Lonchura striata: one gene and its partners. The protein of the gene in region 1 binds, or shares a complex with, the protein of each later gene. Links are inferred from orthologs where the notes say so. Each region holds a gene or a part of one and is shown in the gene's direction. Other genes may lie near its edges. The genes, in order: SNRPF, CWC22, GEMIN2 and PRPF3.

Evidence for each region.
Region 2: SNRPF (region 1) and CWC22 share a complex: the UniProt entries of both Homo sapiens proteins name them as parts of the minor spliceosome. The link is inferred for Lonchura striata from reciprocal best matches to the Homo sapiens genes SNRPF and CWC22.
Region 3: SNRPF (region 1) and GEMIN2 share a complex: the UniProt entries of both Homo sapiens proteins name them as parts of the SMN-Sm complex. The link is inferred for Lonchura striata from reciprocal best matches to the Homo sapiens genes SNRPF and GEMIN2.
Region 4: SNRPF (region 1) and PRPF3 share a complex: the UniProt entries of both Homo sapiens proteins name them as parts of the U4/U6-U5 tri-snRNP complex. The link is inferred for Lonchura striata from reciprocal best matches to the Homo sapiens genes SNRPF and PRPF3.

Annotation. Positions count from the first base shown.
Region 1 is NC_134607.1:54,488,464-54,494,839, forward strand, and holds SNRPF (small nuclear ribonucleoprotein F), read left to right. Parts: upstream 1-4,279; 5' UTR 4,280-4,407; coding exon 4,408-4,410; intron 4,411-4,575; coding exon 4,576-4,701; intron 4,702-5,100; coding exon 5,101-5,165; intron 5,166-5,740; coding exon 5,741-5,807; 3' UTR 5,808-5,858; downstream 5,859-6,376. UniProt on the Homo sapiens protein: Plays a role in pre-mRNA splicing as a core component of the spliceosomal U1, U2, U4 and U5 small nuclear ribonucleoproteins (snRNPs), the building blocks of the spliceosome.
Region 2 is NC_134610.1:23,610,023-23,617,195, reverse strand, and holds the start of CWC22 (pre-mRNA-splicing factor CWC22 homolog), read left to right. Parts: upstream 1-4,156; 5' UTR 4,157-4,226; intron 4,227-4,621; 5' UTR 4,622-4,706; coding exon 4,707-4,733; intron 4,734-7,173. UniProt on the Homo sapiens protein: Required for pre-mRNA splicing as component of the spliceosome. As a component of the minor spliceosome, involved in the splicing of U12-type introns in pre-mRNAs. Promotes exon-junction complex (EJC) assembly.
Region 3 is NC_134608.1:23,823,867-23,830,955, reverse strand, and holds the start of GEMIN2 (gem-associated protein 2), read left to right. Parts: upstream 1-4,088; 5' UTR 4,089-4,126; coding exon 4,127-4,248; intron 4,249-4,756; coding exon 4,757-4,841; intron 4,842-6,007; coding exon 6,008-6,097; intron 6,098-7,089. UniProt on the Homo sapiens protein: The SMN complex catalyzes the assembly of small nuclear ribonucleoproteins (snRNPs), the building blocks of the spliceosome, and thereby plays an important role in the splicing of cellular pre-mRNAs.
Region 4 is NC_134635.1:2,813,004-2,820,186, forward strand, and holds the start of PRPF3 (U4/U6 small nuclear ribonucleoprotein Prp3), read left to right. Parts: upstream 1-4,170; 5' UTR 4,171-4,279; intron 4,280-5,960; 5' UTR 5,961-5,971; coding exon 5,972-6,116; intron 6,117-7,183. Other genes in the region: CIART (circadian-associated transcriptional repressor), read left to right, coding at 234-538, 779-854, 937-1,015, 1,098-1,362; MRPS21 (small ribosomal subunit protein bS21m), read left to right, coding at 2,171-2,253, 3,851-4,031. UniProt on the Homo sapiens protein: Plays a role in pre-mRNA splicing as component of the U4/U6-U5 tri-snRNP complex that is involved in spliceosome assembly, and as component of the precatalytic spliceosome (spliceosome B complex).

The DNA of each region.
Region 1 (6,376 bases):
CATTGTACTGATCTGAAACTGCATATAAATCCTCTACCCAAGAAGAAACCCTTCATTTCTATCTTCCCAGGCTCACCTCTACCTCCTGCCCTGGGAGCTGTTCACAGCGTGGTCTCCTGCTTACTGGGAAAGTCCATCCCAAACAGACTTTTGCATTTTGTTTGTGTTCCCTCACATTACTGTTGCTAGCCACTGCCAGGCATTCAGGGCCAATGGAAAATCACCTGGTTTTTGTGGCTCCCCTGTGTTCTTCTCTTTGGCTGTTTCCAAGTGTTGTTCAGCAAGACTGAGCATATGTTCTGAGCTACAGTCTTACACTGACATGAAAGTCTGTCAGCATGTGAAAAAAGGCATGTTGCTTGGATGAAGCCTGAAACAGGCTAACCAGTTTTGTGCCTCCTATTACTTGGATCCACCCTTGGATTCACTGTATATCCACACTTGTGGAACAGTGTGGCTTTGCTTCTGTTGATGAGAATCTCAGAGAGAATTTACAGCCCCCTGTTCTTCTTAAGTCTGAATTCACTATCTCCCGACTCCCAGTCACAATCGGTGGTGAAGGTCTGTGGTGGATGGTTATGGCCTCACATGGAGATTTGATCAAAGATGGTGTAATTAAAATGACAATCAGCAGAGAGGAAAGGTGTTTTACTGGAAGACATTTCTGAAAAAATACTACTTGAAGCAAAACTATTTTACTGTGGCAAAGCCCCATAAAGTCAGGACTATACCTCACATGAGGGCTGTTGGCAGTTCACAGAATACTGCTACAGCAGTTCCCAAGTCACCAAGAGCTGATAAATTATACAGATTTTCTGTACATAGAGAAAATCTTGTGTTACTTATTGAAAAAGGTTTTTTAGACAAGATAGTCTCTACAGACAAACTGTGGGCAAGATCTGATTTTTCATTCCAGTAGGATATCTAATGGAAAATCTTCCATTTTGTCTATTCCTGAAGGAAAAATAGATGTTCTTCATGTCAAGGCTCGGCCTGAGTCTTAGGTCCTCTTCATATTTTAACAGTATTGCTACAACAGCTAAATTCCCCAAGGGTGCGCAGAGCTTCAAAATCCTCCTAGGTGCACAAGAGTCATAACCACTGCATCCCCAAGAAGTTAGAACAGAGAGCTCGTCAGGAATTGGCTACTGCTTTGCACAAGCCTACTTAACCACTGCCAACCTTGGACTGAGGTATCACTTCACCTAACAGTTCAAGGACCAGACTTGGCCTGGGAGTATGGCAAGAGGGAGGAAGGAAGGTGGTATGTCTTTACCTGGGACAGGTTGTATGTGGAGAGAACAGGTTTTTACACAGCTTTGTCAGTAATGAACCCAACAGAGGCAGAAGTTCCTACACCACATAGCAGGGCTAATTCCATGCTGCCACACTGTATCCTTTTTAATGAAAACCTGTCCTTTGAAGGTGCTGTCTTCAGCACTTCTGATGGAGTTTCCATTTTGTTAACTCCGCTCTGCCCACCTGCAATTCAGGGCTGCACTTTCATGGCTGCTTTAAGTTCTTTGACTGCAGCTGGTGCTCATGACATGGTGATGGCAAAGCTGAAGCTCTTATTGCTCTGGTGGACATGATTGCGTGGTATCGGAAGTAGTTCACCTGATGTGGAATAAGAATACAGTGGAGGAAACCCCCACTGACACTGGCATATCACTAGGAAAAGGCATGGGATGGTCACTAAATGTTCACACTAGAAATTGGAACATGAGGCAGCTCTGAAAGTTTCCTTAATAATGTGTTTATGGCAGACAGAAACAGGTCACTGCAGGGAGTTCTTCTCCAGCAAACTCAGCTGAATCAGAAAGGAGTTCTGGGCTGCTGAGGTTTCTCTCAGCAGTGTGATGGTACATGGGCCCTCTCAGCCTGATTTTACAGCAACACAGTGCATTAGTGATGTCAGGGAGCAATTGCACCAACACAGACAACGCCATGTAACCACCTCTCCACCAGAAATGCTGCTGCCCTTGAATGTCCAGCTGCTTGATGTGTTTCCTTAGGAACAGAGTGTAGGCATTTGTGCTAAATTCCCCCTCCTGAGCTGTAAGAGAAAATCCTATCCATCCACCCAGGAGCTCAGGCTTGGATTAATCTATTACAACAACTCTTTCCTGTTCATTTCCTGTTGAGCAACAGCCTAAATACCCTGACCAGAGGCAGAAAAGAATGCAAATTATTACTTCCCCTATTACAAGGGAAATACAAAGAGGACAAAAGGTGAACTTCACCCCTGTGCTGAAGGTCCAAAGATCAGCGTTAGAAGACTGAGTCAGAATGATTCAGTCAACAAGGTAAACAGCAAATTCCTCACAAGGGCCAAAGAAAAACATCAGCTATTTTGTTTCCTGATTAACAGACTTAGTTAACTACACCAGATGTAGTAATGCATTCTGTGCTTTCAGTACTCCTTTTTACCCTACCCCTGCCCAAAATTGCCGCAGACCCAGTCTCCAGCTGATGAATTACTGATGTGTGAACTCATGGACCAATTGTGAAAGTAGTAGTCAAGCACTCTCTGTCTTTGACTTCTACACTGAGACGAATGACCCTGGGAAATGCTTGTTTTTTGTAACAACAGGGCTGGAATATTTACTCACCTGATTAGCAGTGTGTATTTAAAGAGAAATCTAAATGCTCCTATTTCTTGGTACACAAAAAGTTTTCCCAACATGAATAGGAGACATTGTGGTCAAAATTGGTTTCATATGTAAAAATAACTAGTGCTATTTACAGATAACATACCAAACCTTTTATATTGCCATTCACAGGCATACATGTTTATCCTTGTCAGAACAGTGCAAAAATTGCTCTTACAGTATGATTTTATTCAAGACACTTGGTCTAAGCTCATTGAATTCTGCAACACGGCATCATGTGAAATCAGCTATTCTGTACTGCAAATAGCATGAAAAAATTTTTATATATACCATTTCCCATTGTGTTCATATTTTTGCTTCATAGTCTAAACACAGACTTCCTTACAAAAAAATCTTATAAGTAAGTTAGTTATTCTTTCAGCTGGACCATAATGAGCCCTGCTACCAGAAAGAAAATTAGCATATTTTGGTCTTGTTTCTGCTGTCCATCCACTACACCCTAAAATAAAATCACACTTATTTCTAATGGTTGTGCAAATGTGCATCTAGATATAGTCACAAGAAGTTTCATCTCAACATGAGGAAGAATTTCTTCACGTTGGAAGTGGCAGAGCACTGGAAGATGCTGCCCAGGGAGGTTGCAGAGTTTCCCTTTCTGGAGAAATTCCAAACCCACTTGGACATGTTCCTATGTCAGCTGCTGCAGGTGACCCTGCTTTGGCAGGAGGGTTGACTGGATGGTCTTCAGAGGTCCCTTCCAGCCCTAACAATTCTGATTCTGTAACTGCACTTGTGATATATGCTAGTGAACAGGAACTACAATTGCATCCGTTTCACTCCTACACGTTCACGGTGTGTAAGGACAGTCTGGACCTGGAGAAGATGGCTTTTTGCATCAACAGCTTTAAATATGCAGATTTGAGGAGGCAAGAATGGTTTTGCTTTCAATACCAGGGCACTAGAGTCACTTCTGGAAGGTGAAGTGCACACAACCCACAATAGCTCTGTTACTGAAAGGTTAAGTTTCCTGAATGGTGTTTCCCACATTCAGCACCCAATAATACACTGAAGATCAAGGGGACATGCTGCATGCAGAACAGAAATGCACATTGTGGCATGTGATGAATTTATCCACCGGGCAGTAGAAGACATTAGTGAGGATGTGACCAATCGGTAAACGGTACAGGCGTTGGTGCAGCACACTTGCCTGTCAAAGGTTAAGACATAAGTCAGCACTGATGTGTCGCGACTCTCTCTACACCCAAGAACATCTTTGCCTGGGGGTAAAAAGCCACTGACGGGGAATTCGCACTTAATGTGCCCGCTGACCTCTGAGATTTCCTATCCTTGCGTGTGGAACCACTCCGCGGGTTTCTTTTCGCGGACGGATGGGCGCGGCCGCGCGCCGCCGCCTCACGGGACGGGACCGCGCGGGGCACCGCGGGCACGCGCACGGGCACAGCGCGCGGGGACGCGCACGGGGCGCGAGCTCACCCCCCGCGCCGCGCACGGCCGCGCCACCGCGGCGCGACTGGCGGCAACAGCGATTGGTTAGCACGGGGGGTGGGAGGGGGAAGTGGCAGCCAATGAGACAGGCCCGCGGCACCGGCGAGCCAATGGGCGGCCGCGCCTGAGGCTCGGCGCGTCGGGGCCCGGCAGCCTATGGGAGCGCGGCGCGGTGGGAGGCCGGGGGTGAGAGCGGCGCCCCCGGAACGGGAAGCGGAGCCGTTCCCAGCGCCGCCCCTTGTCCCGCGGCGCGCACGAGCGGTCCCGCCGGGCCCGCGCTTCTCCCGCCATGGTGAGCGGCAGCCGGGAGCGGCGGGAGCCGGGCCGGGCGGGCCGGGAGCCGGGAGGGGCGGGAGCCGGGCGCTGAGGGGCGGGAGCCGCTCCGTTACGGGCCCCAGGCGGCCGGGCGAGGCGGAGCGGGAGGCGGGCGGCGCTGACCGTGTGCTTCCCCCGCCAGAGCCTGCCCCTCAACCCCAAGCCGTTCCTGAACGGGCTGACGGGGAAACCGGTGATGGTGAAGCTGAAGTGGGGGATGGAGTACAAGGGCTACCTCGTCTCCGTGGACGGCTACATGAACATGCAGGTGAGGGGCCGGGGGCGTGCCGGGGCGGTGCCGGCCCCCGGCGTTGTGGAGGAAGAAATGGTGGGTGCCGCATCCCTGGGAGCGTGCAAGGCCAGGCTGGATGGGGCTCTGGGCAGCCTGGGGCAGTGGGAGGTGTGCTCTGGGCAGCCTGGGGCAGTGGGAGGTGTCTCTGCCCTGACGGGGCTCTCAAGGAGGTGATGCCTAAGGAAGGACCTTCCCCGCCGCAGGCGCTGCGTGCCGGGCCGGGGGCGGTGGGGACGCGGTGCAGAGCGGGACCGGGGCCGCTCGGCCACCCCCGGGAGCTGGGGCCGAGCCCTGGGCTGGGGCAGAGCCGTCGTGTGCTTTGCGGAGCCGCTTTTATTGCTGTCTTTCTGATTTTTTCCTCATTTTCCTTTCAAGCTTGCAAACACAGAGGAGTACATAGACGGTGCGTTGTCTGGACACCTGGGTGAAGTTTTGATAAGGTAATTGGGATATTTATTTATGGTGGAGGAAGGCTCTAAATTGCCTCACCACTTGCATTAAAGCTTATACTGGTGGATGTTGTGTTTCTTGTCTAATTAAGATGCCAAGTGTAGCTCTTATAGGAAGGCTATGAATGTGACTTCTATATCAAAGTCCCTTCTGAGAGGAGGAAAAATGATTTTTGCAATATCTAGATAAGTATTTACTGTCTCCTTTGTGGTAACAAAATACTTTTGTTTTCCACAGTATTATATATTTGGGAATCCTTTGGCATTGTAAACTAATGCACTGTAGCTGGAAACACTTTGCATGCTTGGAAGTTAAACTTGACTGTAACTGTTCACCCTAAAGTAAAAAATTTTTTGTACAGCATTGTCAAACATTTATTACATTCATGAAGTTGCACAGTTTGATGTACTGTGTGAAAAAGGTGTACAAGGACAACAGCAGCTTTTTGTTCTGTAGAATTTGGCTGTTGCCAGGCTACATTCAAGCAGAAAAATGTTTAAAGCTTGTTTTATGTGGGGAAAATGATAATGTTTATAGCTAAGGAAACTCTTTGTTCTATTTACAGGTGCAATAATGTTTTGTACATCAGAGGTGTGGAAGAAGAGGAAGAAGATGGAGAAATGAGAGAATAGGTGTTTTGTATTTCTGAAAATAAACCTTTCTTTTCTTTTTTGTTTTTCATACTTCTGTAGTAAGATGTTTATTTCTGTTGTGTTTTAGTATGGGGAAAATTAACTCTTTAAAAAATGTTAATATTTTATTGGTGTCTGAAAAACTAATGCTGGAGGAACAATAGGTAATTGGTTCAATTGAAAGTTGGAAATATTGAAATGAAAAGCAAGGACTTTAAAAATACCTTAAAAGTTATCTTCCCATCTGAAATACAGGAAGACTTGGCAGTATCTATACTTTACAGTATGTATGTCATGACTATTTAAATACGTTTCATCTTTAAACATGTTTATAAAACATTTAGAATTAGCTGGGAAGATTTCACTGCAAGTGAGGTGTGGCGATCTGTTATACCCCAGTTTCCCTCAGAAATATTCTCCTGCTTTGAGTCAGGAAGCTTGAAGTGTGGCTGTATGGTCATTAAGAAAGGACAAATGTATATCTACTTAGCAGCCAACAGCCACACAGCCAAAAGCCTCCTGGCAGCTGCAGGGATCCACAGACTTCAGTGGCATTAATGGGGTTGAGG
Region 2 (7,173 bases), on another chromosome or scaffold:
AGGAAAAGTGCATTCATTAGCCTGTCCTCTGGTTTCTAGGCACAAACACACCTTCTAGCACTCAGCATCATGACCCCACCATGGGTTCTACTGTCCTAGCTCTGCAGAACAGCAGAGATATTTTTTTCCTTAAAGGTCAGGAGATATAAAAATACTTCACAGAGGATAAAAAAAATCAGCACAAAGGAGTAAAAACAAAATTGAAAGGGGTTTAGTTACTAAAAAAGGATTTTAGTTGCTAAATAATCTAAAGCTGCCAAATGATGACATAGCTCAATTCATGGTGTAGCCCTGAAATTTTAGGCAGATATTCAGGGTGCCGGCTGTAGAATGATGCCTTGGTTTGATGAAGTCTTGAAACTGTGGAAAAGAACCAACATTCTTCTGCAGTGTGTAAGGACAAAGTGAAACTAAGGACATGAAAACACCAGTTCACAGCCCAGAGTGACCTGTGTCTGCAGCACTATGTCTGGCTCCACTCCATACCACTTTGTAGGAAAGGCTTCAAACAAACAAACATTAATTATATTAACAAGCAAAAACTCATTGCAAAAAATGTACCTTTATTTTTTTTTTTTTTTTTTTTGCCAATCTGCATTCACTATGCTTTCCTTTTCTGAATAATTGCTTCCCCTGTATATTAATTTAAGGTTAGACTGGACAAGAATTGTTTTCAGTCCCAGAAGCTGGTTGGAGAAGAGCATTGCCACAAAACTGAAAGAAGGCAGATTATAGGATACAGACCAGGAAGTGCTTTAAACAGTAGCTGAGTGGATTTTTTTATTACTGTGAGAAGCAGCTGAAAGACTGTCATTAAAAATAATAGCAAACATATGTGATGTGTTCTCACACAGAGGAAACTGTGTGGAAGTTCCACATATGATCATCCTGCCACTGAGCTCAGAGGGATAGCTTCACTTTGATGAGGTTTCAAAACACATTGCAGGAGTCTGCTGGTGTTTTCTTGGGAAAAACAAATTTTGTGATGGAATGTGATGAGTGTCACACATTTGAGGTATCAAAAAGAGATATTTCTTAGTATTGTAAACCCATGATCTTCCAGCAGTTATTAAACTGTAATGGTGAGGGGACTGCAGAGCACGGATATTGGATCCCTCTGAAACAATGGTGTTTATGTGATGTAAGAGCTTTCTTCTTTCTCTCTTATATGTTGTTTCTTAACACTCTGCATTGGAAATAACTCCTGCCACACAAAAAGTAGCAGTAGAGTAGGGATTGCATGTCCCTGATCCACTCTGCTACTGAACAAGTTCAGCTGTGTTGTTTCCAGCCTCCTTTGCTGACTCACCTCACTTATGTGACCTTAAACTGAAACCACAGAGGATGAGATTTCTCATCTCAGCTGATGTGTGGAATAATATCCTGCAGCTGGCACATTGCAGCAGCTATCTGGAAACAATTTTTGAGCCTTGCACAAGATTATAATTCTACAGCATGCTAAAGGTCACACTGATTAACTTGGATGGGAATTAGCTGTGTATAAATTCCTTACTCCTAATAAAGCAGGCAGGAAACCAATGTCCAATCCATCATTTTGAAATTAATTAATAAAGCAATACTAACTGCAAAGACTCAGTTACCAGAATAAGCTATTGGAGCAGCTATCACTGTTTTTCCAGAAGCATTAGGTACTTGTATGAATTGGGTGTTATTGTATTTCAAAGCCTGATCATCATGCTTACTTAAGGTGAAGAATTCTTTGTTGATTATTGCTGTTCTAAATACACATAAAGCCACTCAACATGAGTTAATTCTTGTGTGGTTTTGTCTTTGGATTTTTTTTCCAGACTCCAAAATCATGCTCCATTCGAACTGTAATGTACTTCAGACTGAGATAGAGATGAGAGAACCTCACCATCTCTTACACCCACAGAGTAGCTGCACAGCTGCAGGGTGATCAGGATTGCTTCAGTTGGATTACTTCACCTGAGTGCCTTCCAGGCAAGTAAGGAGTCCCACATGCTGAGAAAGAAGTTGTGGAAGACACACCAAGCAAGAGAATGTACCTGCATCCCTCTTACTCTCTAGAAGCTGGAACCCACAGTCACGTCTCTACTTCAGACTCTGTACATTTAGGATCTTGAGTGCAGCAGATTCCAAAAGGCTGATCAGGGGTACTCAACCTGCACTGCATTCTACCCCCTTAAAGCACTTGGGAAGTGCAAGCTTTGTCTTTTCACTCTCACAGAACTAAAACTTGCATCTCTTAAAGCATTTTGCCAAACCACAGGACTAGACCCACTGTAAAATTTAAGAATTCTCTCTTTAACCTGGTGAGGAATAAAATCTAACTGTGACCTATGGCAGAAAAAGGACTGTAAGATGAGCAGGGCAGGGAAGAAATGAGCAGAAGGGAGCTTCACTGCATAATCCAATAGTAAAAGCATTAACTTATGAAAGGAGAAAAGGGAAACCTCACTTCACTGCTGCTATTCAGCACTTAATGCCCTTTCTCTTGTTCAGTGAATCCCATTGCCCCAGCCCCTTGTCTGCTTTCCACATCCAAGAAGAGAACTGAAGAATTGAAGTCACCCCAGTTATTCAGCCCATCTTAAATCACAAACATGTTTTTCAGAGGTTATCAGTAGTCTCCTGGTGGAGGCACCTCAAAAAAGACCTTTACATTTCCCATCTCTGTCCTCAGGCTCCTTCTGAGGCAGAGCTCAGCTGTCTATGCTCTCTCTTTCTCAGGGCATTTGGAGGGGCAGGCTGAGGGATGGTACGTGTGGCACCAGCCACAGGATGTCCCCCTCAGGAGATGCTGCTGCCACACTGGCACCATATGCCTTTTCATTTCGTGACACCTGTTTACACAGCGTGAGGCAGGAAAAAGATTACTTGCACAACAGAATGGGAAATCATGGAGTGGGTTCAGGGAATAGCGTGTGAAAGCATTTAACAATTCACATTGTGAGAATGTGTAGAACTGTCCAAATAAATGCTGTTTCCAGTCTCCTGTGTAAGAGCCACATTTGCAAATCATTAAGCCAAATAAAGCAAATCCTGTAGCTAAAAGTTATAAGCAGAAAAAAAAATTCACTTTTTCTGATTGTTGTTTCTTAACATTTCCATGTTGGCAAGGTGTGTTTTGCTGCCTTGACTATTCTGCTTAGTATTACAACATAAATGAGAAAGTTGACTTTTATGAATGTGTAACTTAAAATAACTATTCTCTCCTGAGCACAGAATATTTGTCTCTGTGACAATATACAATGTTACAATGGCATTGATGGCCTTTGGAAAAGTTGGAGAATAGGTTTGCTCCCATTTTGTGAATGCTTCAAATTCTGGGGAACGTGAACTGGTAGATTAGTTTAAACCAAAGTGGTTCTGAGTTAAAGTGCTACATAGCACAATCTCAGTCATGGCCTGATGCTCCTTTTCTCTTACTCTTCTGAGATCTTCTGAGTGACAGAAGAGCGAGATAATTTAAATCTTGGGGATTAAGTCTTCAATTGCTGCACCACATTGACCAGATCTGTCCAATCATGCATATCCTCTCCTTACTATGCTGTGATTTTTTGGTTTTTTTTGGACAGTGAGCATTTGAGTCTGTACTAACTGTTACAATGAAAATAGCGCTACAGGCGTATTACATGATGTGACAAAACATTAAGAAGTCTAATGCTCTGTATAGAATAGATAAGTTGACTTAACAACCTCCAAAAAGAAAGAAATGTAGCATTTTCCAGCTCTGAGAAAGCTCCATGTTCATCGCCTGGAGAAGCAGCGGGTCCCACAGGTGCGGCGGCGCCCTGGCCCGGAGGAGCTCATTGCATTTCACAGCATGGAAACGAACCACAAGCACTTCAAGACCTTATGTAGCACTGTCCTTTGTTTTCATCCCGTTTCTATGCATTTAATTACTCTCCCAAATCCAAACACATTTGTGCCTACAATAAGCCAGAGGCTCTCTGTTAGCCTGGATCCGTGGCGCCGAATCACTTCAAACTTTCAGAGGCCAAACAGACCCTGCAGCATACAGGTGTTCCAACACGGCAGCGCTCGGCACTGCAGTGCGTGCAGGGCTTTTCCCCCAGGATGCCCAGCCCAGCAGTTTTTGTCTGGCACGCAGGGCGAGCGCGCTCCTTTCCGACTGAGGCGGCCCCGCCCTCCGGCCGCCATGTTGGGGTGGGGCCGGCCGCGCGCTCCTCGCGCTGCCGGAAGTGACGTGTGCGGGCCGCGCGCGGCGGCGGCGGCGGGAGGTGCGGGCCGGGCCGGGTTCAGGAACGGGGCCGGGTTCAGGAACGGGGCCGGGGCTGGGCGGGCCGTCCCTTCCCGCCATCCCCGTGGGGTCCGGGGGAGCTCCGGGTCGGGGTTCGCGGCCTCCCCCGCCGCGAGCGGACGGGCCCGGGCCGGGAGCCGGGCTCGGGGTCGGTGGGCCGGGCCCCGGCAGCCCCGGCCGCGGCCTGTCCGCTCGCTCGCTCGGGGCCGGCTGCGGCGGTGCAGCCGCTGTGTGGCCGCAGCGTATCGGAATAGACCCGGGGGAGCCTTTGGGTTTAAGGACTTGTGTAAGCATAGCCTTAAAGGACAAAATAAAGGTGCGTGTTCCGGCACCTTGTGCAGTCGAAAGCTTTTGATTTTCTTCCGTGTGTTACAGGTGAAATGGTTTTCATATGCTGAACTCCAGCTTGGATTGCCTCGTTGCTGCACGTTGAGAACTTCGTAAAAAGCAGGAAGTCAAGATGAAGAGCAGGGTGACACAAGTAAATGTAAGTGTTCTTAAAACTAAATTGTGAGATTTGATACTTCCCATGTCACTGGTAATTAGGTTTGTAGTTGATATTATGTTAAATAAAACTTCCTGAGTGCAAAGCAAGTAATATCTGTAACAGACAGAAGTTGTTTGCAAGATAAATACTACTAGGAGTCAGTAAATTACTGACTAGTAATATACTAGCTGCTGTTGTCCATGCAATTAAAGTCCTGAATATTATTAGTGTAAAATGTTACAATAATTGGTCAAAACTGACTGAATGCTGATGGCTCAACAGTAAGTGTAAGCATGTAGAGGAGTGGAGAAGGATTTTGAGAAATTTAACAACAATCTTAAAAGATATTGAAACAATAAGTTGCAGTTAATTTGACAACTGTATGTCATACTATGCACGTTAAAACTTTTCCTTTTAATAGCTATGTGTCCCACTTCTGAGTGGATGGGGTTGATTTTTTTGGGAATGCAAGAAGAAAAAGTTTAGAAATGCTGTTTGCAATGGATGCCAGTTTTGAGACATGTTAACAGAGCAATATTGTTGTGATGCCCTGACTCAGATCTGTGGTATTACTCTCCCTGTTTGCCCAGAGTTGGAACCTGCATAGGCTTCTTCACTCTTTTAGACCATCTTTTCTGACTTGAGTGACTTCTAGTAGGGATGCTTGAGGGGTAGTTTAATACCTTCTCCTGTTCTCCCCACCTGGTAGCGCTCCCTCATCTGTCAAAACAAGCCAGTTAGCAAAAGCACACTGTTTGGACAGTTTCACTTAATCACTTTGATGAAAATGGATAAAGAAGAGGGCTAACTTGTGGCAGAAAACCTGGTCACAAAGAGCTGAGGGTGACAATTTCTTCAGCAAGCATAGCTTCTTTTGCAAGGAGATGTGATAAATGGCAAATACAGAAACAGCCATAACATTGTTTTATTTCTGTGAACATTTGTCTCTTTGGTTCTGCTTGGGCAGAGACACATGATAAAGAATCCATTGGAATGGATCAGCCTTAAAAAGACCCACTGCCTTCTTCCCATCTGCTAGATAGGATTTAAATACAGTAACTATTTTGTGGTATTCAAAGATTTTTATTACCGCTTTCTTGGAAGCTTAGGATTCAGACTGGCATATATTACTATGTTGGGAAAAGGAAACAAGGACGCTTGTTACCCTTGAATGAATTCAGTGATCTGCTGTGTGCTGTAATGACCATTCAAAGGGGTAGAAAACCTTGGTGAATGTGTGAATTTTTTGTACTGTGTCCACTGTTGAAGGTAATGTGGCTCTAAAATGACACAGGTGGACATAACTTCTATAGGGATGCATGCTGCCAGTGGACAGTGCAAAGCCCTTGTTTTGTGTCATGGCCTTTATGCAGGCAACAGAACTCTGGGTGTAATTTTAACAATTTGAATTGCCCCCTTGGAAGGGCAATATTCCAGGATATGTTATAGTGGCCTCAAAAAAACAATTTTTTTTTTTGCATATATACACACCCTCCCAGTTAAGTTTTTGGAGATAGCAGTTGCTCTGCTTTTTATGGAAGAGGTGTCATGTTCTGGTCACCCAGAGTTTTAATTGGTTCTTTGGTGGGGAGGAGGCTGCTTCAACGAACAAGCTGAGTGTTCCTACAGGGAGTTCCATCAAGGTGCATAAGGAAATGCTTTTGTTGAGTTACTGCATCATGTGAGGTGTTCCCTGTTTCACAGATAATGACTCTGTGACATTGTGAGATTGTGGTTCTGAAAAATCATAAATAATATTTTAAAGAAAGAGGTGACCCTTCCAATGAAAGTACTCAGGTTACAAATGCTGCTGTTTACAAATGTTTAGAAACATGTTAATGAATATCTTTCTGTTTGCTGTAGATGCTGTCACTTTCTGATTTTTGTACTGATTTTCTACTCCATACTTCATGTCATGGTTCAGCCCATGGAATTTGTTGTGAGCTGTTTAAGTGTGTATCACTTACACAATTCTGCAAATCTGCCAAGTAGATCAGTGCAGCTCAGATGTTTGTAATGTATGAAACTAAGAATGACTCTTGAGGAAATAAATTGTGATTAGTAAAAAGGGGGAATGTAAGGAAAAATTACTCAATAAAGGGAATTTTTAGGAGAGAGGAAAGACAGTCTTTAAACAAGAAATGGTGGAATTCTGTTCATGGTATTGCGTGTAATACAACAAATGAAAATGGCATCTGAAAAAACGAAGCAGGAAAGGCAGACCAGTGGTCCATCTACTCTAGTCTCCAGCAGTAGTTAACAGCAGATGCCTTAGAGAGTTTAGGAATAGGGATATATAAAAGTACTTGCCGGCATACTCTCACACTCTACCTGTTTGCAGCTTCCTCAGCCAGATAAAGTCTTTTAGTAACCCTTGTGGATTTTTCTTTGGTGTTTATTCCATGCCTTGAACCTGTGGAAGCATTTGGCATGTGCAGCA
Region 3 (7,089 bases), on another chromosome or scaffold:
TTCGGTTCCAAAGAACTAAAATACATGAGCACAATAGTTTAAATAGTTATCTAAAGCAATTTGCTAACATTTTCACCACTCAAACGCAGTCCTCCTCCAAATCTGCCCTCCCAGATCTCTCACTGAAAACTTTAAACAACTACGGTACCTAAATTTAAAAAAAAGCAATGCATAATCAAACGCAGCAGGGCCTGCATTTCTCGTTTTACCTACACTGGAAGGCACCCTCGTCAGTGGCACAGCGGCACAGCTACAGCGGAGCTCCGGGACAGGAGCACCCCGGCGCTGCCGGGGAGCGCTGCCCTTCACCCCGGCCGTTCAAGGCCCTGCCCGCCGGCCCCCGGCCGAGCTGGGGCTGCTGGGGCTGCTCGCCCGGCCCGGGAGGCCGCGGGCACTGCTGACCAGCGCCCGGCGGCAGCCCCGGACTCTCAGGCCGCCGGGGGCCCCGACAGCAATTCTGGCACCCGGAGATCCCCCAGCGCCACGGAGGAGGCGCGGGGAGCTCCCACCACGCTCCCTTCGGGTCCCACAGCCGTGCGGGGCCCCGCGGGCCGGGTGCCCGTGCCTCCCAGCGCGGGGAGAGGAGGGGCTGCCCCTCTCCCCTCCCTGCACCCCAGCTCCGCCGGGCCGGGCTCCCCCTCAGCGCCGCGCTGCGCGCTCACCCGCGTCCCGGCCGCCGCTCCCGCTGCGCTCGCTGTCCCCGCCCGCCCGCCCGCAGCCGCCCCGGCGCCGCCGACGCACCAACATGGCTGATGGGAGAGTCCGCGCCACGTCAAGGGCAGAGAGCGGGGGCGGGCTGAGCTCCGCCGCCCGCCCGCCCCCGGCACAGCCCGCCGGCCGCCCCGGCCTGCCCGGCCCGGGCAGCGCGGCCGGCGTCAGCCGCCCCGCGGCTCCGACCGTGGCTCCGCCGCCTTGGCAGCTCCTGCTCGCGTGTGTGTGTTGGCCACCCTGTTCGGCTGTCTTCTGAAGGTCGGTCGTGTGCATCCCGATCAGCGGGGGCAGTTTGGCCGTCTCTCCCTGCGGCAGTGCCGCGGCCCCGGGGCTGCCGGCGGCCCCGCCGGTGGCTGCGCTGCTCTGTGCGGGGCTGCTCCGTCCGGCACGAACTCCGGGATCGAAACAGCCGGGCTTATTCCCATCTTCCACCATGACTACTTATGGCAACTTCTTAATCTGGAAGATTGTTTAGATGTTTCTTCTGAGTGCCTGGGGAAAAAACAAAATGAAGTTATATTCCTGGGGGTTTAAACCTGAAACAATCCTTTATCTTGTTAGTGTGGTCAGCTTTTTTATCCACAAACTGAAGTTAACAGATAACTCTTCAGTTTTAGGAATTGTTTTTCACAAGGCTGTCATGAAAGGCCAGAACAATAACTTCTGTCTTTCCTGAGATGTCGTAGTGCAATTAATCCAGACATGGGGGAGGACTGGAAAACATTCTGCTGACTGGCTACCATATCCTGCCTCCTTCATTGCAACTCGGAAAATATTCTGTGACCATCAAGCAAATACAAATTACTAAAACAACTTTACCCTCTTTTTTTATATGTCAGATGTGATTATGATAGAATTTCTTTGCCATTGCTCTCTCCAGTATGGTTTACCAGTCCTCTTCAGACTAAAAACATGAACAGTTAAGCAACAGCAGAATTTATGGGAGGGATTTTTAATTTTCTTGTTCACAAATCTCACTGCCATTTGTGGGAGTATTAAGCAAGAGCTTGCCAATGACATGTAACATCCTCACCCTGAACTCAAAAGAAAAAAAGAAAAAAACAGACCAACCCCCAAACCCTACCACACTTCAAACAGATGCACAGCAAATTACTCAGTGTTGTAATTTCAAAAGTATTCAAATAACTTGTGAAACATTTTCAGAAAATTCCCCAAAAAAGAGGCAAGTCCTGAAGTCTAAAATGCAGGATGAACTCTATAAATAAGAGAAAAAGAGGCATCTGACATTTAAAGACACTCAAAGGGCAAGAAGGGAAAACAGCAAAGTATACTACTCTGAAAGTTTACTACAAATAAAATATATTCAGTATTTTAAATTAATCTTCAGTACAATTAAATTTCATTACATAATAACTCAGTCCAATGCTCTAAACTTAAAGTCATGCAGCTGTTATGACGCTGCTAACCACAGAGAAAATCAAGGAGAAAGAAAAGTAGAAAATAGATATAAACTCATTTATTCATTATAAGAAAATATTTTGCTAGCTCTCCATATTCATATCTAGAATGTAGATTTGAAAACATTTTAATTTTTCATAATGCAGAATTTATATGTTACTTTGTTTTGGTTTGGTTTTTTAGCCAATGAGGCATATCCATTAATGCAACCTTTCTTGGGGAAGGCACTCTTCCTTAATGCCTAAGCAGGTGAGAAGAAATATATACATTTCCAATTTCATTTTCCTCTTTCTCCACTGAGTCATATTTGCTAGCCATTGCATCAGCATTGTTGGTAAGAAATACTATCTGCAATAATTAAAAATATGTTGCTTTGCTTAACAAGTATCAATGGAAAGTTGAATAAAAAGTGATCTAAAGATAGGAAGTATATTTGAAGCGTATATCTGTGGATTCGCTTGATTCTATGAAGTTCGTAGTTCTGGACTTTACAACAAATAGGAAAAATAAGTTCTGAATATTACTAAAGTATTATAAAAGAACTTTATATAGCTGGACTCACCAAAGTTTTTGTCTTGATCATCAGCCTTTCCAGAGTTATCACTGTAGGTTTAAGTAGGCAAGTTTTATTTCTAGTGGTGACTGCAATTGTTGCATACTCAACTAAGACGTTAGATCCGGGTTTCAGGAAAAAAAATCTCCCTGGTACACGTAGGTGCTTTTGGAAACAATTTAAAACAAACAAAAGCCATTGGAGAGGAGGAGTTAAGGCAGATGTTTATTTAGAACTACTGAAATACAGGCTTGCAGGGGGTTAAAAAGAAAACGTTGTTTTTTTTTTTTTAACTTATGTCAGAAGTATCTCAAACTACTCTGAAATATTAAATCTAACACTGCAGAACTAATTGAAGAGATAATATACTGATGGACATTTGTGTAACAGGAATTTCATAATACACAATGTAAATGATTACAGCATCACCCTTTCACTTTTTGTCTCACCTGGGAAACAATGCCCCTTTGTGCAGATGTGAGAAACTGCATTGACTTGTTTGTTCATCAAAAGTATGAAATTAGGATAAAAGGGGGGGAAGTCGGGACATGGAATTTGCAGGCTTGACTGGTAACCACAAAGATTGTGAAAGATTTTGCAGGACTGGCTGGAACTGATAACCGCAGTGGAAACCCATTGTTGCTGAAAACTGATAAACCGAAGTGGAAGAAGACACACCACCCCACTTGTAAAATCCATTGTTTTTGGGACTGATAACCACGGTGGAACGAGACTCATCACCCCCACTCATGCAAGATAAAAAGGGACTGAAGAGAAGGAAAGGTTGTCAGCTTTTGGCGGAGCCAGGCTCCCAGCTGAACCCAGCGCTGTTTTGCTTGCTATCGCTTGCTGTAATTAATAAAATTATTAATTGATCTTAAAAGGCTGAATCAAATTATTCGCCTCAACTTATAACACAGATGCTACCTTGCTTTCTGACATGTGGATGCTTTCACATTGTAGTCTTCAGAAAAATTCATACAGCAACAGCTCAGGCATTGATCCTTCCAGAATGGGAACTCTGTAAATTTAAAATCATTAACTTCTATATAACTGACTTTAACCACAGATCTCAAAGCATTTCAAGAAAGGGACAAATATTACGAATACTGGGTTTTCACAAGTAAAATAAGAGCGTACTAACGGGTGAGCTTTAAAGAATTTTTGGCAAAAACTACAGCATATTAGAATAATGTCACAGCGGCTAATGAAGGAAGCTATTAAAGGTTTACGCCTCTTCACCACAAAAATAGGCGTAGTTTGATGGGCAGTGGATTGGCAACCCCTCTTCTGCCGCTGCTCTTCGGCCATGCTTGTTGTGCTCCCCGGCGGGAGGACAACCGCCCGGACAACCACGACGCCGGGCGCGGGGCGCGCCCAGCGGCGCCGGGCCGAGGCGCGCGCCGCGCGGCAGCGCCGCTCTCGCGAGAGCCGCGCGGGGCCATGGAGCCGGGCCTGGAGGAGCTGATGCCGCGGCTGCTGCCCGTGGGCGACTGCGACCTGGCCGAGGACTTCGATCCCACCGTGCCTCCCAGGACGCCCCAGGAGTATCTGAAGCGCGTCCAGTGAGTGGCGGGGCGGTGGGGCCGGGCCCGGGCCCGTCGCCTCTCCGCGAGTGTGGCGGGGCAGCCGGTGCTGCCCGGGCCGGGCTTCGGGCGCGCCAGGGCGGCCGCGCCGTGCTGCCCTCGCCGGCACAGCCGGTGCTTTCACACCGGTGTTTAAACACCTGCTTTAAAACGGGCGGGCACCGATCTCTTCCTTGTCGTGACCGGCGACACGATTCCAGGAAACGACATGAAGCCGTGTCAAGGGAGGTTTGGGCTGGCTATCAGGAAAAGGTTTTTCACCCAGAGGGTGGCTGAGCACTGAACAGCTCATGACAGAGTTCGGGAAACATTTGGACAGCGCCGTCGGGCACAGGGTGTGATTTCTGGGCTGTCGTGTGCACGGAGTTGGACTCAATGATATTGATTGGTCCCTCCATGATTTTTATGAGTATTTCAAAGACATCCGGTATATACCGACCTGTCACATGAAAGAAAAAAATGCAGCCCACTTGATTCTGTTTTGTAGGATTGAAGCAGCGCGATGTCCTGACGTTGTTGTGGCGCAAATAGATCCCAGAAAATTGAAGAAGAAGCCGACAGTAAACATTTCAGTAAGTTTGAGAGCTTTTGCACGTTTTGAGTAGGGGGGAAACCGGGAGAGATGTTCCTATAATGATGTTTGTATTACTTTGGGGGAGTCATTGGCATAACTGAATAGCACTGCTAGATTCTAAAAGCATCTACAGAATTAAATGTCTGTGTTTGAAGAAACCCCTGCTCACCTGCTGGGTAACAGCAGTATTTCTAAATTATTAAATTGATAATCCCCATACTATTTGATACACAGCTGACTATTTTACTGTGTAAGGAAATCAAATGTTGCATTAAATCTTACAATTATTTAATCCTGCATAAATTTAAACCTGCATAAATTTTAGAAGAAAAACATATCCATACCTGTCTTTGGGTTTAAGTCTATATTTAGCATAAGGGTAGTAAGTGCAGCTAAGCTTTACTAAAGTTACATTAAATTCTAGTACCACTTTCCTTTTGGAAGGAATATTTTATTGGAACTTCTCCTTACTGTTGAAGCAGATTTTTCTGTTGTTGCATTGCCCTGCCAGCTTGGTTTTTAATCTGTTTTCAAATAGTTTGCCTTTCTCCAACGACAACGATGTAATCTGAGATTGCCCTACTAGATTTCTCAAAGAAAGTTTCTAATACTGATATGACTTTGTAACTTCTGTAGCCATTCTCTTCATCTGTCTCATCTGTTTGTAGTGACATTCTTAAGCACTTGTAGAAAGATTTTGTTTAATAACCCTTTCATGCTAATCTTTAAAGCAGTTATATCTACTTAACTATCAAATTTAATTTTCTAGATGGTTTTATGGTCTTCTGTCTTCCTCAACTACTATCTTCACAGGAAGACTGCCTAAGATTGATAGTATCTGTCCCAGATAAGGAAGCTGCATCCATTTTTTTATGAGCAGGGAGATTAAAGCAGAACAATTGCTGAAAGGAAGACCTTAAGTAATTATTTGACAATGTATTTTGAACACTTAGTTTTCCTTCTTATGTACATATGAGAAGTGTCAAATTTGTCTAAGCCAAAATCTTAACTCAGCCTTGGATGTGGTCATGAAATTACCTTTCTTAGATGGAGAGTTCAAGGATATTGTTGACCTGATAGTAAACATTTACTGATTCTCTTGTCCTTAAGGATTCTTCTTATGCAGATCTCTTTACATTATAATTATTACCAGTGTTTTCTCAGATTTCTGGATGTCAGCCTGCTCCTGAAGGATACTCTCCAACGCTCAAGTGGCAGCAGCAGCAAGTGGCCAATTTCTCAGCTGTTCGTCAGGTACAAGATAGTCTGTGAGGGGTCTTGCATGGTCTAGATAGAACATATCTGTGCTTTATAGGGGATAACTTTACATCTAGTAGAGAAGTGTTGCGATTTTGTTGCAGGATAGAAGTTTATAGGCAAGTGTTTTAAGTTCTTGAAAGCTAATTGAGCATATACTGTGTGGCTTTTAAACCTCTGATGAAACTCTTGAGAGTCAAGTTTAAGAAATTCTCTGTATTTTGATTAAATTAAAAGGCATGGTTGAGGAAGGACAAAAACCCCTATGATGTTATGCAGTTATATTAAAACATAGTGCTAGCAGGAAATGTTCTGCAGAACTTAATATTAACTAAGAACAAAGTGGATTCTAACCCATCAGGAGATTCATAAAGTGCATTTAGAAACCTGTTGACAGAGGTGGCAACCCATTATGAGGAGACATACTGATTTGGTAAAACATATTTGTAAGGTTGTAGAATTAGCACAGACTTTCATCTTTCCTGATACATTTGCACCCTGCTTGAAATAACACAAGAACAGAAAATAAGCAGTCTCAAAGGGTAAAGGTTCTAAGTTCAGCTAAGCTTTGCTAAAGTTTTAAACTAAAGGAGGATTGATTTCAATTAGCTATAAGGAAGAATTTTTTTTACAGTGAAGGTGGTGAAACACTGGCACAGGTTGCCCAGAGAGGGGTGGATGCCCCATCCCTCAAAACCACTAAAGGTCAGGTTGGATGGGGTTCTGAGCCTGAGCTAGTTGAAGATGTGCCTGCCCATGGGAGAGGGGCTGGACTAGATGGCCTGTGAAGGCCCCTTCCAGCCCAAATCTATGATTCTATTATTCTCTATGCACAGTTCAAGCAGGATGAATTGAAAATATAATAAAAATATAGGTGGAGGTAATTTGTGATTCCACTGCTGCAGACAGCATGTTTACAGTGCATTGATACTGCATTGTAGAGTCCCTCAAGTACTGAGGTGTGACCAGCTAGGAGCTGCTCTAGCACT
Region 4 (7,183 bases), on another chromosome or scaffold:
AACTGGGGGGGGAGAGGGGCGTGTCCTGGGGCTGGGGGTGGTCCCGGGTGAAAGGTCCCAGGTGGGTCCCTGGTCTCCCATCCTGTCTGAGGAGATGCCAAATGTGCCCCCCCGGGGCATGTGAGGCAGCTCCGGGGCTGTGGGGATGACATCCCCACGGGAGAACGAGGCAGTTCGTTGTCTTCCATTTTTGTCCGATATCCCCCCCGGTGTTTCCCTCCCTCCTCCCCCAGACAGCCTCGGCTGTTTGACCCTGCTGGAGCTGAACGCAGGGAGAGGCTCCCCTGCGGGGGCCACCCCCGCCATGGAGCCCCCCGCCCGCACCTGCTCCTGCGGCTCCCCTGCCTCCGACAGCGAGGCCGAGGCCGGCAGCTCCCCCCGGAGCCCCCCCAGACCCGAGCGCAGCCGCAAGCGCCCGGCGGGGCTGGACCGAGCACCCCCCGAATCGCCGCCCTCACCCCGCGGGGGGAAGCGCCCGCGGAAAGGAGAAGGGGGGGATGTCCCTCCCAGCGATGGCGATCGCCTCTTTGCCCAAAAGGTGAGTTTTTTGGCAGAAAACGAAGGGGCACCCCCAAAGATGGGAGGTGAGGGAGGGCTTGGTGTCCCCTCAAAAAACCCCTGGGTCTGCCTCAGTTTCCCCACTGAAACGGGCGGGTGGGGATGAGCAGGATTCGGGGGGTGAGAGGGAGGTAAGTGGGGTGTGAGGGGGTGCACCAGACCCCCTCTCCAGTCTGGGTGCAGCCCAGTCACCTCCTCCTCTTCCTCCTCTTCCTCGCAGTGCCGGGAGCTCCGGGGCTTCATCCGGCCGCTGGCCGAGCTGCTGGAGGGGCTGCGGCGGGGCCGGTATGACAGAGGTGGGTGCCCCCCACACCCTCCTCCTCCTCAAAGCATCCCTTTCCCTCTGGGGAAAATTCACCCAATTTCGGGACTCCCCAGGGCTGAGCAGCTTCCAGCAGAGCGTGGCCATGGACCGGCTCCAGCGGATCATTGGGGTCCTGCAGAAGCCAGAAATGGGGTGAGGGTCCCCAGCTATCCCCGGGGGGGGCGGGCACGGGGACACCTCCTCCGCAGAGGGTGACAGAGCTCTCTCCCCGCAGTGCCCGCTACCTGGGGACGCTGCTGCAGGTGGAGGCGATGCTGCGCCTCTGGTTCCCCCACGTCGCCCCCAAACCCACGCTGGACTCGACCCCCTCCACGGCTCCCCCGCGCCGCCGGCCCCCCGCCGGTCCCCCCGGGGCTCCCCGGTGCCGCCGCCTGCCCGGGGACCTCCCCCTCGCCAGCCCCGCGGGGACATTACAGCAGCGGGGGTCCCCCCGGTGCCAAGCCGGGACCCCCGAGTCGCCCCCAGCGCCGGACGTGTGACGCCCCCCCCGGCTCGGGGGGGGGGAAGATCTCGTCTGCATTTCTTGGTTTTGCCTTTTTTGATTTTTTTTTTTTTTTTTTTTTACGGGTGGTCAGTGAGACCCGCGGGCGGGCGGGACTGACCGGGGGAGGGGTCCCGACCCCCCTCCCCACCCCAGAAGCCCCAACCGCGGGGCGGCCGCGTGCCTTGGCCGGAGCGGAGCCCCGTCCCCGCGGGGACCGGGCTCTCCCGGGCTGGTGCCTTCCCCCCGAGCGGTGGGTGCGGAGCCCCGAGCGGGGCGGGCGCTGCTGGAGCAATAAACGCCGCGGGAGCGGCCGGGGCCAGCCGCTGTCGTGTCCTCTGTGCCTGGGCAGGGCGGGGGGTGCGCTCCCGTCCCGGCGGGCTCACAGCCGCCCCCGGTGCCCCGCTGTCCCCCGGCCCGGCTGCGGGCGGGACAGCCCCGGGAGCGGCACGGGTTCCGCCGGTACCGGGGCTCTCCCCGCCGGAAGTCCCGGCGGTAGCGGAAGTCCCTCCCGACGGAAGCTCCTCCATCAGTCACGGGGCTGCGGAGCTTCACCGGGGTCAGCTGGGGAGAGCAGCGGCACCGGGACCCGACCGGGGCACGGCACCGTTCGCGGGGCGGCGGGTCCCTTGGGGCTCTGCGGGGGGAACCGAGCCCTCCGTGTCCCCGGGAGAGGGCGGGAGGGACCGGCCCCTCTCCGTACCCGGGGTTCCCTGCCGTGTCCCGGGGCGGGGGGAGGAGGGACGGGCTCCTGCGGGCGCCGGGGCTGCCCGGTCCCAGCCGCTCCGTCCCGCAGCAGCGCGGCCATGGCGAACCACCTGCGCTTCGTGGGCCGCACGGTGATGGTGCAGAACGGAAACGTGGAGGCGGCGTACGGCGTCCTGAACAGGTGAGGATCGGGGGGAACGGCGGGGTTTGGGCCCCGAGGGGCTCCGATTCCTTCCCGTGCTGGGTTCAGAGCCAGAATTTCTGGAGCAGAAGGTGACGGGAGGGTGGTGCGGGGCTTTTCCCATGAGCTCCACGTCCCACCGCCCCCTCGGATGGGCTGTAAGCAGCGTGAAATCGAGGAAGAGCTGAGCGCTGCTTCTCGGGGAGCTCTGCGCTCACACACCTTCGTTGGAGCCGCCTTAAACGGAGCTCGGGGGGTTCCTTCCCCTCCTCGCGGGTGGACGGCGAGGAGACCGAGCCGAGGGTCCGCACCGGGACCGAGCCGTGCACAGGGTCCGCACGGAGACCGAGCCGAGCCAGGGTCCGCACGGGGACCGAGGGTCCGCACCGAGACCGAGGGTCCGCACCGGGACCGAGCCGTGCACAGGGTCCGCACCGGGACCGAGGGTCCGCACGGGGACCGAGCCGGGCCCAGGGTCCACACCGGGACCGAGCCGTGCACAGGGTCCGCACGGAGACCGAGCCGTGCACAGGGTCCGCACGGAGACCGAGGGTCCGCACCGGGACCGAGGGTCCGCACGGACCGAGCCGTGCACAGGGTCCGCACCGGGACCGAGGGTCCGCACGGAGACCGAGCCGTGCACAGGGTCCGCACGGAGACCGAGGGTCCGCACCGGGACCGAGGGTCTGCACGGACCGAGCCGTGCACAGGGTCCGCACCGGGACCGAGGGTCCGCACGGGGACCGAGCCGTGCACAGGGTCCGCACCGGGACCGAGGGTCCGCACGGGGACCGAGCCGGGCCCAGGGTCCACACCGGGACCGAGCCGTGCACAGGGTCCGCACCGGGACCGAGCCGTGCACAGGGTCCGCACCGGGACCGAGGGTCCGCACGGGGACCGAGCCGGGCCCAGGGTCCACACCGGGACCGAGCCGTGCACAGGGTCCGCACCGGGACCGAGCCGTGCACAGGGTCCGCACGGAGACCGAGCCGAGCCAGGGTCCGCACGGGGACCGAGGGTCCGCACGGGGACCGAGCCGGGCCCAGGGTCCACACCGGGACTGAGCCGAGCCCAGAGTCCACACCGGGACCGAGCCGAGCCCAGGGTCCACACCGGGACCGAGCCGTGCACAGGGTCCGCATGGGGACCGAGCCGAACCCAGGGTCCGCACCGGGACCGAGCCGAACCCAGGGTCCGCACCGGGACCGAGGGTCCGCACGGACCGAGCCGTGCACAGGGTCCGCACGGGGACTGAGCCGAGCCCAGGGTCCACACCGGGACCGAGCCGTGCACAGGGTCCGCATGGGGACCGAGGGTCCGCACGGGGACCGAGCCGTGCACAGGGTCCGCACCGGGACCGAGGGTCCGCACGGGGACCGAGCCGTGCACAGGGTCCGCACCGGGACCGAGGGTCCGCACGGACCGAGTCGTGCACAGGGTCCGCACGGGGACCGAGCCGAGCCCAGGGTCCGCACGGGCCGAGCCGTGCACAGGGTCCGCACGGGGACCGAGGGTCCGCACGAACCGAGCCGTGCCCGTTCCTCTCTGCTCGGCAGAGCCTTCCCCGCCGCTGTCACGGCTCTCTCCCCTCCCGCAGGATCCTGGCGCAGGACGGCGTGGCCGAGGCGGTGCGGCGCTCCCGCTACTACGAGAAGCCGAGCCGGGCGCGGCGGCGGCGGGCGTTCGAGGCGTGCCGGCGGGTGTACTGCGCCGAGATGGCGCGCAGGATCGCCTTCCTGGCGCGGAGCGCCCGCCAGGACCCGTGGCCGGGCTGCTGAGGAGCGGCCGGCCCCAATAAAGAGCCTTGGTTCCCGTTAATTGAGTTTGGTTAATGACGGTCTGAGGGGGCGGGGGCGGGGCTGAGCGTGGCCACGCCCCTTGCCGGGTTCGCGCGCGCCCCGGCCCCGCCCTCCCGCGCGCTCCGCCGCGCAGGCGCCGCGCGGCCGTTTCCGCTTCCTCCCCGACGCGCCGTCACCGTCAGGGGCCGCCGGGCCGGGCCCGGGACCGGCGTGAGGGAACGGGGCCGGTGAGGAACACTGCGGCTCCCCGGAGGGCATGGAGGCAACGGGGAAAGCGGGCGGGCTACCGAGAGGGAGGCAGGCGGTGGCGGAGGTGGCCCCGGGCCCGGCCCGCGCGGAGCCGCTCGCCCGGCGCGCCGCGCTGAGGGGGCCGGGCCGGGCCCCGGGCGGAGCTCCGCGGCAGCGGGGCACGCCGGGCCCTGCGGGGCTGCGCGGGAGCGGGGTCGGCAGGAGCCGCGTGTCTGCGGTGGGACCGAGCTCCGTCCGTCCGTCCGTGTGAGGCCGGAGCGGGCGGCGGAGCCCCGGCGCGGTCGGGCGGTGCTCGGACTCGTTCATTGATCCTGATGCGGGTTCCGGGAGCTGCATCCCCACGAGCTGCTCCCCGCGGTGGCTCTGCCCGCCCGGTGTGGCACGGAAACAGCCGGGGAGCCGCTGCCTCCCCTCAGCTCCTGCTGGAGCTCAGGTCGGGGGAAGCTGGACCGCCTCTAATTACACGAGTTTTGTGGTTTATTATGGGTGTGCTCAGAGCTGTCGATGTGTCGGGGCCGTAATTTGTTAGTTCTGCTTGTCCTTAGCCTGTGCAGGCTCAGAAGTCGTGGGGAAATGCCAGAATCCGGGTTTGGGCTCTATTTGAACCTGTCTCTAAGGAAGCTGCCAGGAAAAGTAGAGCCTGAGGAGGTTCCCAGGCTCTGGAGGGAAACCAGAGCCGTGTCCTCTGTGGAGGACTGCTTGGTAGGACAGTGCAGATTCCCCAGCTCCTGGGGCCCTGCAGGAAGCAGCAGTCACCTCCTGGAACTGCTCATGGACCTGAAATCAGGGGATCTGTGTTAGGGATGACCCCAGGGCCCCATTCCCAGCTCCAGGAAGGGTAACTGAACACCATTCCCAGTTCCAGGAGGGATAAATGAACACCATTCCCAGCTCCAGGAAGGATAACTGAACCCCAGGACCCCATTGAACCCCAGGGCCCCATTCCCAGCTCCAGGAGGGATAACTGAACACCATTCCCAGCTCCAGGAGGGATAACTGAACACCATTCCCAGCTCCAGGAAGCACAGCTGTGCCAGGTGTCTGTTCCCACAGCCCCACCTGGGTGCCGTGGTGGGGCTCAGCCCTAAGGAGATTTTGCCAGATCCGATTAGGGCCCGGAGCCAGTTAAAAGCAGTTGCAGCTGCAGCCCAGGCTGTGAGTGCTGCAGGATGTGAGGGGCTGTGACTGCCAGGGAGCTGCCCAGATCTGGGGCTGCACGCTGGGGAAGAGGCTCAGATTGTTTTGTGTCCCTGGCGTGGGCTCAGTGGGAGCAGGGGGGTTCTGTCCCACGCGTTCCACTCGCAGTGCATCTCTCTTCCCAACCCCTGGAGCATCCCATGGAGGGATTTGGGGAGCTCAGAGGCTTTGTCACCGGGCTGGCAGCACAGAGAGACATGGGGAGCTCAGGGAGGAGCCAGGGTGGGAAGGGTTATCCTGAGAACACGCATTGCTGTCTGGTTTTGGAAGCACTCTGGTGTGTCCCTCTAGGATCCACAGCAGGTCCTGCGTCCCCTGTGTGGGGTCAGGACCTCCCTCCTCACGGGGTTTGCCTCGTTTTAGCCCGCAGGGGAGCCCACGAGAGCTTTTCCCAGCCGTGGAGCTGATCCTGAGGGTGAGGACACCCCAGGCCCGTGTTTGACGCGCTGTGTCTCCTCGCAGCCCGAGCAGAGATGTCGCTGTCCAAGCGCGAGCTGGACGAGCTGAAGCCATGGATCGAGAAGACGGTGAAGCGTGTGCTGGGCTTCTCGGAGCCCACCGTGGTCACCGCCGCGCTCAACTGCGTGGGCAAGGGCATGGACAAGAAGAAAGCGGCCGGTACGTGCGCAGCCGGGTCTGTAAAACAGCCCAAAACCTCGCCAGGGTGGAGGGGCAGGGGCACAGGGCAGTTCTCTCAGCCTCCACGAGGTGAGTAGGGGGAAATCCCTCAGACCAGACTCAACTGGAGGCCTTGGGATGTGTTAAAAGATCTGATGAGGAAAAATTAATTCCTTATTTGAGGAACTGTAAAAGGTAATTTTTTAGTGTGCTTTAGAAAGCGGCTGGTACGTCCGCAGCCAGGTTTGTAAAACAGCCCAAAACCTCGCCAGGGTGGAGGGGCAGGGGCACAGGGCAGTTCTCTCAGCCTCCACGAGGTGAGTAGGGGGAAATCCCTCAGCCCAGACTCAGCTGGAGGCCTTGGGATGTGTTAAAAGATCTGATGAGGAAAAATTAATTCCTTATTCGAGGAACTGTAAAAGGTAATTTTTTAGTGTGCTTTAGAAAGCGGCTGGTACGTCTGCAGCCAGGTTTGTAAAACAGCCCAAAACCTCACCAGGGTGGAGGTGCAGGGGCACAGGGCAGTTCTCTCAGCCTCCACGAGGTGAGTAGGGGGAAATCCCTCAGACCAGACTCAACTGGAGGCCTTGGGATGTGTTAAAAGATCTGATGAGGAAAAATTAATTCCTTATTCGAGGAACTGTAAAAGGTAATTTTTTAGTGTGCTTTAGAAAGCGGCTGGTACGTGCGCAGCCAGGTTTGTAAAACAGCCCAAAACCTCACCAGGGTGGAGGTGCAGGGGCACAGGGCAGTTCTCTCAGCCTCCACGAGGTGAGTAGGGGGAAATCCCTCAGCCCAGACTCAGCTGGAGGCCTTGGGATGTGTTAAAAGATCTGATGAGGAAAAATTAATTCCTTATTTGAGGAACTGTAAAAGGTAATTTTTTGGTGTGCTTTTTTTGCCCGTTACAGCCTTGCTTTGCTTCTGCATGGACTGGACCCCCTTAATCCCTTAGTTTAAAGCTCCTGACAGCACAATACACAGATCCCAGAGGCTTCCAGGCCTCCCTGTGCTTGTAGACTTGAATCACTTAAACTGAAGTGGTTTTTACATCTTCCATGTGGATT